2 linked regions of the Caenorhabditis elegans genome follow. The protein of the gene in region 2 purifies or fractionates together with the protein of the main gene of each other region. This does not show direct contact. Each region holds a gene or a part of one and is shown on either strand. Other genes may lie near its edges. The genes, in order: pfk-1.1 and rpb-7.

Region 1 (7,678 bases), on a different chromosome or scaffold from region 2:
AATTAAAGACTTTATCATCTTAAGGGTGAAACGTGGATCATATGGTGCTCCAAGCAACTATTCCCCACCAGAAAGTCAATATGGGCACAATGGAGGTGGTGGCTACGGAAGGCCAAGTGGTTATGGACAACCTGGAGGTGGGTATGGTAGACCTCAACAATATGGGCAAGGTGGATACCAGCAAGGAGGAAACTATCCAAACAGCGGGTTCCAACAGGGAGGATTTCAAGGCCAGTCTGGCGGATTCCAAGGGCAAAATGGAGGATTCCAAGGTCAAGGTCAATTCCAGGGAGACCAATCCGGGTTCGGACAACAAGGAGGATCACAGACCGGGTTCCAAGCATCACCTCCAGTTCCAGCTATGCCGCAACCTGGAGCAGGTAGTTCAAATGTCGGACCAGACTACTCACCTGTAGGGCAAACTGCGCCAGTTGCTTCTCCAGGAGCCGGTGGATTGTTTGGTGGTGGATCAGCTAGTACTGGCTTCGATGATCCAGCTTTTGCAGCTGATGCTAAGCCTGAAAAATCAACGACCGATACTATCACAGAGACGTCGGTTACTGGATCAAGAAAATGAAGATTTAAGTGTTTCTCACTGTGATATATGGACTTTGTACATACTTTTTAGAAATAAAATATATTTCTGTGTATTAAAGATTCTTGTCTTGATTTTGTAACAAATACAAATATCATTTAGATTAATTAATAGTCTATACTTATAGTGCCAAAAAGATCAAATATTATAGTGAAATTAATCAAAATGTTGTTCACAATATTGCTGATTTCTTTTTCAGATCCCCTAAAATTTTCAACAGAAGTTTGACTGGAGATATAGCGGTGGACATCTCACGGGTCTACTTTTAGATGATTTTTTTTTAAACCTCTGTAGCTTTGGAACAAAAAAAACTTTTCATAGGAACAGTTCTAATGATAAAATACTTTGAATAAACATATTTTTAAAATAACTACATATTTTAAAACACTTCATTTATTTGCATCATGGCATATTTTCAACTACTAAGAAATAGGGGCTAAGACTTCAATCAACTTGTGCAAAGAATGGCGAGAAAAAAAATTGTGAGAACCTATGGAAGCTTAGTAAAAAGAGACAATTTAGACGAGCAAAGATTTAATATAGACCATGAGAACATTTACAATACCGAGTAAGTGTAACACACAAAAAAAAGTATTATGACAGACAGAAAAAAGTAGTCGCTATGGAGACATCAAAACTTTTCAGAACATGTGTGAGTCGGCGCTTTCTTCTTCAACAGATTCCAAAATTGCAGAACTTTCAACGGTCGAACGATGACGAGCGAGAACACGGAGAAGTGGACGCAGAGCCATCCACCTGAAATTTTTAAATTGAAATTTATCGCAGAATGTGTCCAGGAGCGTTCATTGTCATTAGAGCGCGCTTACTAACAACTAACAAATTCTCGAATACGCGGGAATCAGCTTCCACAGGAAATCAGTTTTTGAAAACATATTTTTTGGGTTCTACGGAAATTATTGTCAAATTTTTAATTTACATTATTGCTGACTATGAGGAACATTAAGCGAATGGCAAACATGTAAAATTGGGCTCTTACGGCCGAGAACGAAAGTTTTTTTTTTAAACAGTCATCACAGAAATTATAAACAATTCATATCCGGCGGTGATTAACTTCATGATTTTTGAAATTACACAGTTATAAAGATCTACGTGATTTTTTCAAATTTTAAATGTTGAGAACTAATCAAATCAATAAGTAATCAAGGGATTTCATGAATATGCATCTTCTCTACAAAATGATCAACCAAATACCGGCCTAAAATCGAAAAACTGACTGTTATGATACAGTTTCCAAAATTTCCTAAATTTACACACTTTCGATTTGTATATCGAAAATGTTTAACAAATCATAACAATAATATAAATCGGAAAAAAAATCTTCTAAAGGAGCCAAAAACTAGCCAAAGAAACTGATTTTTGATAGAAACAAATTACCGCGCGAGTTTGTAAGATGTCAGAAAGTGCGCTCTAACGCTAGAGGAAATCGTGCTCCACGAGTATTGCATATAGCCCTTAAACTTATGGTTTAGATATTTAACAAGAATACAGACATGCTGTATTCCATTATGTTATTTTTAGTCTAGAGATTGAATAGTTTTTTCTACAAACTACTTGTCCACTAACCATTGCTCTGATGGAAGACGATGCTCAAAATCGGTCTCCTTCTTGAGATCTTGCACCGGCGTGAACACCACCTTTCGTCCTTTGAGTCCAAGAAGCGTCGCAGTATGGGCTGACTTGGCGATCACCTTGTTATCGGCCGTCAAATTTTCCTTGAGCTGAATGAGCAAAAACTCCAAAGCACGAGCGGCCAGCTTGGTTCCCATATTTCTGTCGAACGGCGTTGGAGATCCACCCTGTTGAACATGTCCGAGAACATTGACTCTTGTGGTGAAGTTCTTCTTTCCTTCAGAATCAAAAAGATTCTGCACAAAATCTGTGGTGAGGTTCTTGTCGGCCCACTCATTTCTGACAACCAAGTAGCGTTTCGCTCCAACTTCCATCTTTGAGAGAATCACATCAACATCATCGGAGAGGTCTTGAACGGTGAATGGCTCTTCAAAAATGTACGCATTATCCGCACCGGAGCTCAACGCAGAAAGAGTGGCAAGGTAACCACAGTATCCTCCCATTGTTTCGACAATGAAAACTCTTCTCTTGGTACCAGTGGCAGATTGCTTGATTTTGTCGATCATCTGGCAAATCTCATTGATCGCGGTATCGGATCCGAGAGACACCATAGTTCCTAAAATTAGAAATGTATTGTTTAAAAACCTTATATAATGAAAAACAAACCTGGAACATTGTTCGAGATGGTGCATGGGATGACACACATTGGAATGCAAAACTCGGGATACTTTTCGCGATTTTCAGCAAGAATTATTGTGCTGTGATACGCTTCAAATCCTCCAACAAGCAATAACGCTTGAATATTGTGCTTCTTCAGTTGAGCAGCAAGTTGAGGCATAGTTTTCTCAGTTGGAAGACTTTTCTGTGTGCCAAGGAACGATCCTCCGTTCATTGCCCAGTTAGTAACATCGGACCACTTGAACTGTTTGAATGACCCATTGGCAAGTCCCTCAAAACTGTCTTCAATACCGTACACGGTACACTGATGGTAGAGAGCCATTCGAACATAAGAGCGGACGGCTGCATTCATTCCACCGGCTGGAGCGCCAACGTTGATTACAGCAACATTGAATTTGTGTCCTTCCGAAAGATTGTCCTTTTCGACGGTTCTCATCTTAGTCAGCAACTTGTACGTTTCAAGATTTCTCTGGAAACTGCGTCCACGAAGCATCACAGCCGTGGTCCAGTCCTTATCCGCCATTGCCTTCTGTACCATTTGAGTTCGTTCGACACACTTGAGAAGTGGCACACGGACCATAACATTTCCGTCAATTGAGATAACACAAGGTTCTGATTCCTGAAATAAAAAAAAATTATACTTCTTTTCTTTCAAGCAGGAATAACGGTTTGAACGGTGAAAGTGTAGACCCAAAATGTGCTCAAATAAACGAAAAAATTTGTAAATTTCGTTATGAAGCTTTGCAAAAAATGTTCAAACTTTTTTCTTTGACTGTACAAAATGTTAGAAAAAATAGTCTAAAATCTCTAATTCTGAGCTTTTTTCGGTGTCGAAGCTGCCTGAAATTGATTTTTTGAGCGCATTATTATCTTTTATTGCATTTACTAATTTTTGACATTTTTTGGTCACCTACCGGTTTTAAATATACCTTGACTAGGGCTTCCATGTGGCGCCGGTAAGGCGTCAGCGCCGGCTTCACGCCGCAAATCGCGCCACAGGTATAGTACGGCGCGGAACCCCCAAAGTGTCGACCGCTGCCATCTTTGCGAACTACGTTGCGCACACGTCAAATTTCTCTTTTCACGCCAAGCTGCGAAACAGCGGCAGACGGTGAAGGAGGTCCGGCGGGAGGCCCGTGGAGGCGCCAACGCCGCGCCTCTCTCACAAGGAAGCCCTAACCTTAACTATCAAAATAATATGAGATGAAGGAACAAAATTTACGACAAAGTTCGATAATCCAAAAAAGCCAACTTCGGGCCGCTGCGGCACTGAAAAAAACTACAATTAAGATTTTTGTTAATTTGAAAACATATTGGTTCATACGTTCAAACCATTAATGAAAAATTCACAGAAAATCCCAGAAACCTCAGTCATCTCCATGAGAGCAAAAACTGCTTCTGCTCCCATTCTACATCCAAGAAGTCGATCAAAAGCAGATGGAGCACCTCCGCGTTGAACATGTCCAAGAATTGTAACGCGTGTATCGTATTTCAGCTTCTCCTTGACAGCAGTCTTCACATCCTCGGCGGTGATAGCCTTTCCATCACGATCAATAGCTCCCTCGGCGACAATAATGATGTTAAGACGTTGACCCTCTGATCTCATTTGAGAAAGTTTGTCGCACAAGACGTCACGCCAATTTTCCGGTGCCGGCCATTCAGGAATGAAGCAGAAGTCGGCTTCGGAAGCTAGAGCAGCAACTAGAGCCAGATATCCACAATGGCGACCCATGACCTAGAGTAAAATAAGTATATGAATTATTTTCTTGATAAATTGAGATCACCTCAATAACAAAAGCCCTTTGATGACTTTGTGCAGTTGCGACTACAGCATCAATAGAACTGATAATTCTTTGAAGTGCCGAGTCGGTTCCAATCGTCATGTCGGTTCCACAAAAATCGTTGTCGATGGATCCGACAAGTCCGACAATTTGAATGTAAGGAATCTTTTTCGCAGCCGCCGCAGTGACTCGTTGATTTTTCACAAGTTCTTGCACAAGATCGGTCCACTCCAAACGGAAAGTGTTGGCTCCAGTGAGAGATCCATCTCCACCAATGCATACAAGACGACCAATTCCACGATTAATCAGGTTGGTGGCTGCCTGGAAATTTAATTTTAACTTTCAAAACTTTCAAAAATTTGTTTTATTGGGCTAATTATTTTCTCACCTTGAGACGCCCTTCACGAGTTCTGAATTCGGAAGATCTTGCGGAACCAATGATAGTTCCTCCTTGCTGAATAATATCGGAAACGGTGTTCCACGTGGCTTCCTTGATGAAATCTCCACCTTCAATCATTCCTTCGTATCCTTCGTAGATCAAATACACTTTACATCCACAGTATATAGCCATTCTTGTGATACTTCGAACAGCGCTGTTCATACCTGGAAAATAAAGTTTCAAACGTATTCTTACAAGGAAAAGTTTGAATTTTATTAAAAGTGAAATGAATTTTATATGGAGACTCCACACAAAATTTTCATGGCAGGTCAAAATTTCAAATTTTGCCCTAATTCATTCGTACCTTGAGAGTCTCCTCCGGACGTGTAAATCGCGAGAGTACGTCCCTTGAAAATATCCGACGCAATCTCAGTTCCTTCTCTTCCAGCAGTTGGGACGATTGAGTCGAAGCGGCGCAAAGCTCGCTGACGGATAAAGTCGAGCTCTTCTGGCGTGATTGTTGATGCGTCCGCGTCCATTTCGAATTATGCAAAATTCTGTAATTTATGACAATAGTATTTAACACGAAGGATGAGAAAAATGGGATGAGAAGAATGAAAAAATTTTGAGAAGAAAAGGATAAATCTGAGAACTGCAAGAGAAAAATGTTGACAAGCAAAAACTGATTAATCGATGCGGACAATGAATGCGCGTAATACAGTGTGGCAGGGACCATTGTGGTTAGAAAGTGCGCGACGCAGATACAACAAGGAAAACACAGAAACAAACAACTGCGCGCGGTCATATTACCCTGTGGAAGGTCAACTTTTAATTATTATTTTTATAGGAGGAGCATTGAGTGGTTCTGGACATTTTAAATTCAATGAATTTTGTAATGAAACTTCCAAATTTTTTTCAAAATTTTTTATGTCGGTTTGAAATTTTAAAAATTTAAAAATTCAAAAAAAAACCTATTTCAGCTAAAATCTCTAATTTTGTCCATTTTTTCGTGTTGCATCGGTCCGAAGAAATTAACTTTTTTTCAAATTATTATATTTAATGGCATAGCTTGACTTCATTTCGTTAATTAGGATACATCGTATTTTTTCTAATGTAGTATACATTGCACTCCATTACTCAACTTTGACAGCTTAAATCTCAGTTGGCGTTTGTTTTATTGAAAACTGATCAACTGAAAAAACACTTATTTTTATTTTTTTCTATATATTTGCAGTTGACAGTTTATTGATATTTTTTAAACGAACATAGATATATCCTTTTGGAGTAAAGTAATTGGATGATATACTATTAGAGGAAATACGTAATTTACAGCTGATAGGTAACCTAAAATAAAAAAAAATAGGTCACCTATCGGCTTTAACTGTACTATAATCAAAAAAAAAACAAGAGATGAACGACCAAATATGCAACAGAGGATTGAAAAATCAAAAAAAAAGTATTGCCAAAATTGAAGATTTTAACTAAAATTAGGCCATGTTTTTTCGAAATTTTGAACCGCCATAAAAGTTTATTGAATTAGTTTAATCCATTTGAGTAGATATTAAGTTTAAACGTTCAAAATAATACCGAAACTTCAACAAACAAACGTTTTATTTAGTTCCTTTGGTATAAGAAAACAATGAATGATGCCAAGTGAGAAGTGATAGTGATTGAAATGGAGAGAGAAAAGATGCAGAGTAAATAATGAGTGTGACGAACGCATGGGAAAAAAGAAAAGTAGAAAAAAGCCAAAAATAAAAGGTTTCGACTTTGAAATATGCTATGGCAAGTACACATGATGCAATACACGAAAGAAGCCCCTAGAGGGGGGATGCACTTTTGATCTTGACGCAGGGGACCCAGACAACTGAATGTATTTATACAACAGAAACAAAACATGAAAACCAAAATTGTGAATTACATTTTCCTATCAAATCGACTGGATTGAATGAATGATTGGTGTGTTTTCTTCTTCTTCACTTTTTCAGCCTTCAGCAAGGGAAAAAAACTAAGCAGCCAGAAGCAAAGTGCGAGAGAATATGCGTAACACGGAGAAAGAGATCGAGAGAAGACAACGCAAAAAAAACGAAAGCGCGGCCCTTCTGCCTTGCCCCTCGTTTCTCCAACTGCTCAATGTTTTCGACGTGCCAAAACGCATTTTGGATTGAGAAGGAAGAAAACGTAAGGGCCGGGGAGAGAGCACAAAGATTTGATTTCTTATCCGTCATGTCATTTGTGTCTAGTTATCAAAAATAAATCAATTTAAAACATGAATAGAGCTAGTGGAAAAATTTAAAAAAAAAACACGCCTACGGTACCACAATGGACAAATATCATAAAAGAAAGTTTCAAAAAAATTTTCTAATTTTTTTTCCAATTTTCAAAAAATCAAAAAATCAATTGAAACTTTAAAAAATTACCATAACATTTGGTCACTGTAGCGTGTGTTAAAGAAATTTCCTCACTGACTCTACTCCTTAAAATTTGAAAAAAGAGACTACGCAGGGAACTAATACAATGTTGATTGTTAATGCGAGTAAACAGTAAGTTGAAAAAGTAAACACTGCCCTCAGGTTTTTGGGATTCATAACCAACAGTGCGAAACGGCCAAGTGGCAAGTTGTTGTTCAAAACTTTTCAATTGATATTGGAAAAC
Region 2 (4,703 bases):
GATCAAACCGTGATGGGACAGCCTGGCACCACGTGAAAAATATAAGTTTTGCATGAGAATTCAAAGCAATTAGTTTTAAATCCAATATTTCCAGGTTGGTTCCTGAGACTTCTCTCAGTCCTCGCAATTCCTGTCTTCGCAATAATCTACCTGCTCAGCGGTACCGGCACACTTTACGAACGCTTCCGATGGGCAATAACTCCTCAACAACGCCGAAATTCGGCGACTTCTCTCGCCGCTGATCCCACACAAATTATCGATAGTTCTCTTTTAGATCCAATTCATACACTTACTCCAGTTTAGATAATTCTTGGTGTACTGTTGGAAGTCAACGATCGATAGCCGTGCACAGAAAAAAAGGCGGAGCGTAATTTCGCAACCTTGCGGCACGGTTTTTCCACCTATTTTGACGCCCGTTTTATTCTCTTTTTTTTTAAATAAAAACTAAATTGGATAGTCTTTTTATTAAAAAAAAAAGAGAATTCAAATCGAAATTTTATAGAAAAAATCAGCAAAACCGTGCCGCAGGATTGCAAAATTACGCTCTGCCTCTTTTCACGAATCGATCTTTTAATTTCAACAGTTATTATCGATTTATTGATTTTTCTTCCACTTTTTCAAATTTTTAAAATATTTTTCAATTCTCGAACTCGAATTATTTCTGGAGTAGCGTTTTATTTTTCCCGATCTCTTTAACCATCCACGCGGTGCCAATTCCTATTTAATCTCATAACTCACAAGCTTTCGTTTTCTGAAATTTTGTAAATAATCAATTAAAAAAAGAATTTTTATTGCACGATATAAACAAAAATATTTAATACTTAAATACTAATATCATTTTTTTGTGTAATAAGTCAGATCAGCCGAAACCGTATTAAAACATGGTAGAGGGGAAGGGGTTCACTGCAACTTTTCTTAAACGAGGGACGAGGAAATGCGGTTTCTAGGCCATGGCCGAGGATCCGACAAGATTTAGCGGCAATTTATCTTGCTTTGTTTTCCGCTTGTTTTTTTTTTTGTTTTTCACAGTTTTTTTTCCCGTTTTTCCTATTAAAACTGATGGATAAATATTTTTTCGCAGATGCTAGAACAATCGGCAAGAAGCGGTGAAAATGATCAATGTAATATGATGGATTACAGGCATACCAAACCTAAACTTTTTCCGAAACATGATATATATACTGCTTAGATGCTGAAACTACTTGATTTTCATAACGAGACCGCTGAAAAAAAGTTTTGAGATTTTTAAAATTCAACATTTTGTGCGAAAATATCGACTTTTTCACCAAAAAAGTTGAATTTTAAAAATCTCAAAACTTTTTCAGCGGTCTCGTTATGAAAATCAGGTAGTTTCAGCCTCTAAGCAGCATATATTTCATGATTCGGAAAAAGTTTAGGTTTAGTATTCCCGTAATCCATCGCTACACAATTTTTCAGTTGGAAATTGTTCTAGCATCTGCAAAAAATATTTATTCATCAGTGTTAATAAGAAAAAAACGGGAGAAAAATCGGTGAAAAACCAAAGAAAAAACGCGGAAAACAAAGCAAAATAAATTGCCGCTAAATCTTGTCGGATCCCCGGCCGTGGCCTAGAAACCGTATTTCCTCGTCCCTCATTCAAAAAAGTTGCAGTGAGGTTAGGAAATCATCACAGGATTCTTCTATTCATGTCAGTATGCAATAGATTATAATTATTATATACAGCTACCCGAGAGGTTAAAGGTATAATGGCTGGCTAGCCAACGATCGGACGATCCAGTGAACACATCTTTCGATATTTGTTCCTTCTAGCGCCGAAACCGGAAGAACTGCAAGGTCCGAGCGGTGATTGTCGTCTTCGAGCAGCATTCGGACCTGGAAAATATGATTTTAATGCAGGAATTTCGGTTTTTTTTTTCGATTTTTGAGAAAAATCTGACCTCAGCGGCAGCGGCGGCTCCTTCCATTTCACTTTTATTCACCGCTACTAAAACTGGAATATTTTGAACTATTTCGTTGGCCATTACTTCTTCTGAAATATTCGTATTATTATTATTATTTCTGGTATAAATTTGATTTATTTCAATTTCAAACTACTTACTAAACTGAGATGCTACTATTGGGAAGAGATCGCTCCTTGTTGCGTCCACAACAAAAATCATGGCATTTGCATCGTCGTAATATGTCGCCCAGAGTTCTCGTAAACTCTCCTGGCCTCCGAGATCCCAGAAATGAAGACATGTGTTGTTGAGCTCGACATTTCCAGCTGAAAATTGAAAAAAAAAATTTTTTGATTTTTAATTCATTTTAGAGGCTTACTATTCAAACCAACTGTCGCCGTGATTTTTGATGGATTCAGAACCCCGTAGTCCTTTACAAAGTGAGATTTTGTTTGCTCCAGAAACGTCTGAAATCGATAATTTCTGATATTAATCGGTGAGATCTCAAATTCAAGAGACTTACAGTTTTTCCAGCATTATCCAGACCGACTATCACCACATAATAGTCTTTTTTCTTGAAGAATTTCTCCCAGATACCCGCCGAAAGTGTGTACATATGTGAAATATTCGATTTTAAAGAGGAAAAACCGAGCGGAGTTGGCAAAATAAAAGAAAAACGAGATATGCGCCAAGGACGCCTGCTGGCGCATTCTTCGTCTCGTTGGCACGCAACTGGTGCGCTTACGCTTCGTGTACGAAATTTATTTATTTTTCGAATAGATTTTGGTGGATTTTTTCGTTTTTAATTGTTTTTTTTTGGTTTTAAAACTCAATTTTCTTGTTTTACGCAATAAATACTTGATCAGAAATCGATTTTTTGTGTGTAAAATCCAGAATTCGTGCATAAAATTTCTCTAAGGGGGTTTTTAACTTTTAGGAGTAAAGATTCTAGGTATTTTGAATGTATAAGACCGAAATATGCTCAAATAAGCGAATTTTGCAATAAAAATTCTTAAAGAGTGCTCGAACATTTTTTATGTCGGGTAAAATCTCCAATTCTGGCTACTTTCCATGTCGCAGCGATTGGAAGTGGACTTTTTTGGAATTTTCATCTCTTTTTGCATAATTTGATCGATTATCTCACGTTTTTAAGCAATAAAGGATGATAATTTAAAAAAAAGTGAACTTTCCATCGCCGCGACGCGGAAAAGTGGCCAAATTTCGCTATTCCACTCAGTAAACCCGTTCAGAATATACCCAGATTTAAACCGTACAAGCCTATATTATGAAAAATTCTAATTTTGGGCAGATGTAAACCAAGATTGTCTAGATTCAAACATAATTTGCATAGATTGCAAGTTTGAGTAGATGTAAACTGAATTTGTGTAGGTTTGTGTAGATCCAAACCAAATTTGTGCAGATAAATTCACAATATAGGCTTGTACGGTTTTAATTTGGTTTAAATCTGGGTATATTCTGAACGGGCTTACTGAACAAGTGAACTTAGCCGGGTTTTTCGGAATTTTGAGAAATTTCATTACGAAATTCGTCCATTTGAGCACATTTTGGATCTTCAACGTTAAAAATTACTCCTGTTTTAATAGTAAAAATTAAATTTTAAAAAACGATTTTTATGCTTGAAACACAGAGTTTACATGCAAAAATCGATAGAAATTTGAGTTTTAAACCAAAAAAAATCACTAAAAAACCCAGAACCGTTACGATTTCCTCTTTTAAATACAAATTTAAGAACTTTCAGATGTTCTTCCACTTGTCACTCGACCATGAAGTCTGCCTCCATCCGAAATATTTCGGTCCAAACCTGAACGAAACCATCAAAATGAAGCTGTTCAACGAAGTCGAGGGAACGTGCACAGGAAAGTACGGATTCGTCATCGCAGTCACCACAATCGACACGATCGGCCACGGCCTGATCCAGCCTGGCCGTGGATTCGTCATCTACCCGGTCCGTTACAAGGCCATCGTGTTCCGCCCGTTCAAAGGACAAGTCGTCGATGGAGTCGTCACACAGGTCAATAAAGTCGGCATTTTCTGTGATATCGGACCACTTTCATGCTTCATCAGTCGTCATTGTATTCCACCAGACATGGAATTCGATCCGAACAGTGAGAAACCGTGCTACAAGACCAATGATGAGGCGAATGTGATTCGGAATGATGATGAGATCCGTGTGAAGCTCATCGGAACACGTGTCGATGCTAACGACATTTTTGCCATCGGAACCTTGATGGACGATTTTCTCGGACTGTGCCAAGCGGAATGATCTGGTTTTCAACGATTCGCTGTATCATAATTTATCTATCACCACGTTATTTCACAATATTTTAATTTTTACTTTTTTTAAAATCCATCTGTTACGTTTAAACCTTAAAGGATCTCATTTTATTGGTTTTACTTGCTTTTTGGAACTTAAAACTTGGTTTTTTACCATTTTTAATATCTTTTTTTTTATATTCTCCTCATTTATATTCTTTAATTGGACTTAAAACTCGCATAATCCCATTTCAGATGAAGTTCCTTCCCGATGTTGCGATGTTCAGCGAGATCCGCCAGATGAATATTCGTCAGGTACTGAATTTTGCAAAAAAATTATTTTCGAGCGAAAAAAAGGGATTTTCAGTGGAAAAAGGGTGTATTTTTATAGGAAATCATCGAAAAATCCAGAGAAAATTTAGTTTTTAAGACAAATTTAATATTTTTCATGGAAAATATGTTTTTCTTTTCAGGACCGCGCAGGAGTTTTTAATTCGTAAAAATTTTTTT

Evidence for each region.
Region 1: the proteins of rpb-7 (region 2) and pfk-1.1 fractionate together in Caenorhabditis elegans (co-fractionation; one large-scale study listed by BioGRID). This does not show direct contact.

The regions. Positions count from the first base shown.
Region 1 is NC_003284.9:2,938,774-2,946,451, reverse strand, and holds pfk-1.1 (ATP-dependent 6-phosphofructokinase 1), read right to left. Parts: upstream 5,581-7,678; 5' UTR 5,563-5,580; coding exon 5,388-5,562; intron 5,248-5,387; coding exon 5,033-5,247; intron 4,966-5,032; coding exon 4,648-4,965; intron 4,599-4,647; coding exon 4,230-4,598; intron 3,483-4,229; coding exon 2,852-3,482; intron 2,802-2,851; coding exon 2,180-2,801; exon of another isoform or gene 1,352-2,179; coding exon 1,237-1,351; 3' UTR 974-1,236; downstream 1-973. Other genes in the region: Y41G9A.10 (Prion-like-(Q/N-rich)-domain-bearing protein), read left to right, coding at 25-577. UniProt on the Caenorhabditis elegans protein: Catalyzes the phosphorylation of D-fructose 6-phosphate to fructose 1,6-bisphosphate by ATP, the first committing step of glycolysis.
Region 2 is NC_003279.8:3,030,838-3,035,540, reverse strand, and holds rpb-7 (DNA-directed RNA polymerase II subunit RPB7), read left to right. Parts: upstream 1-2,602; coding exon 2,603-2,671; intron 2,672-3,678; coding exon 3,679-4,203; downstream 4,204-4,703. Other genes in the region: mod-5 (Transporter), read left to right, coding at 95-303; Y54E10BR.2 (ADP-ribosylation factor-related protein 1), read right to left, coding at 1,717-1,854, 1,920-2,011, 2,081-2,245, 2,299-2,386, 2,443-2,535; sec-11 (Signal peptidase complex catalytic subunit SEC11), read left to right, coding at 4,449-4,508.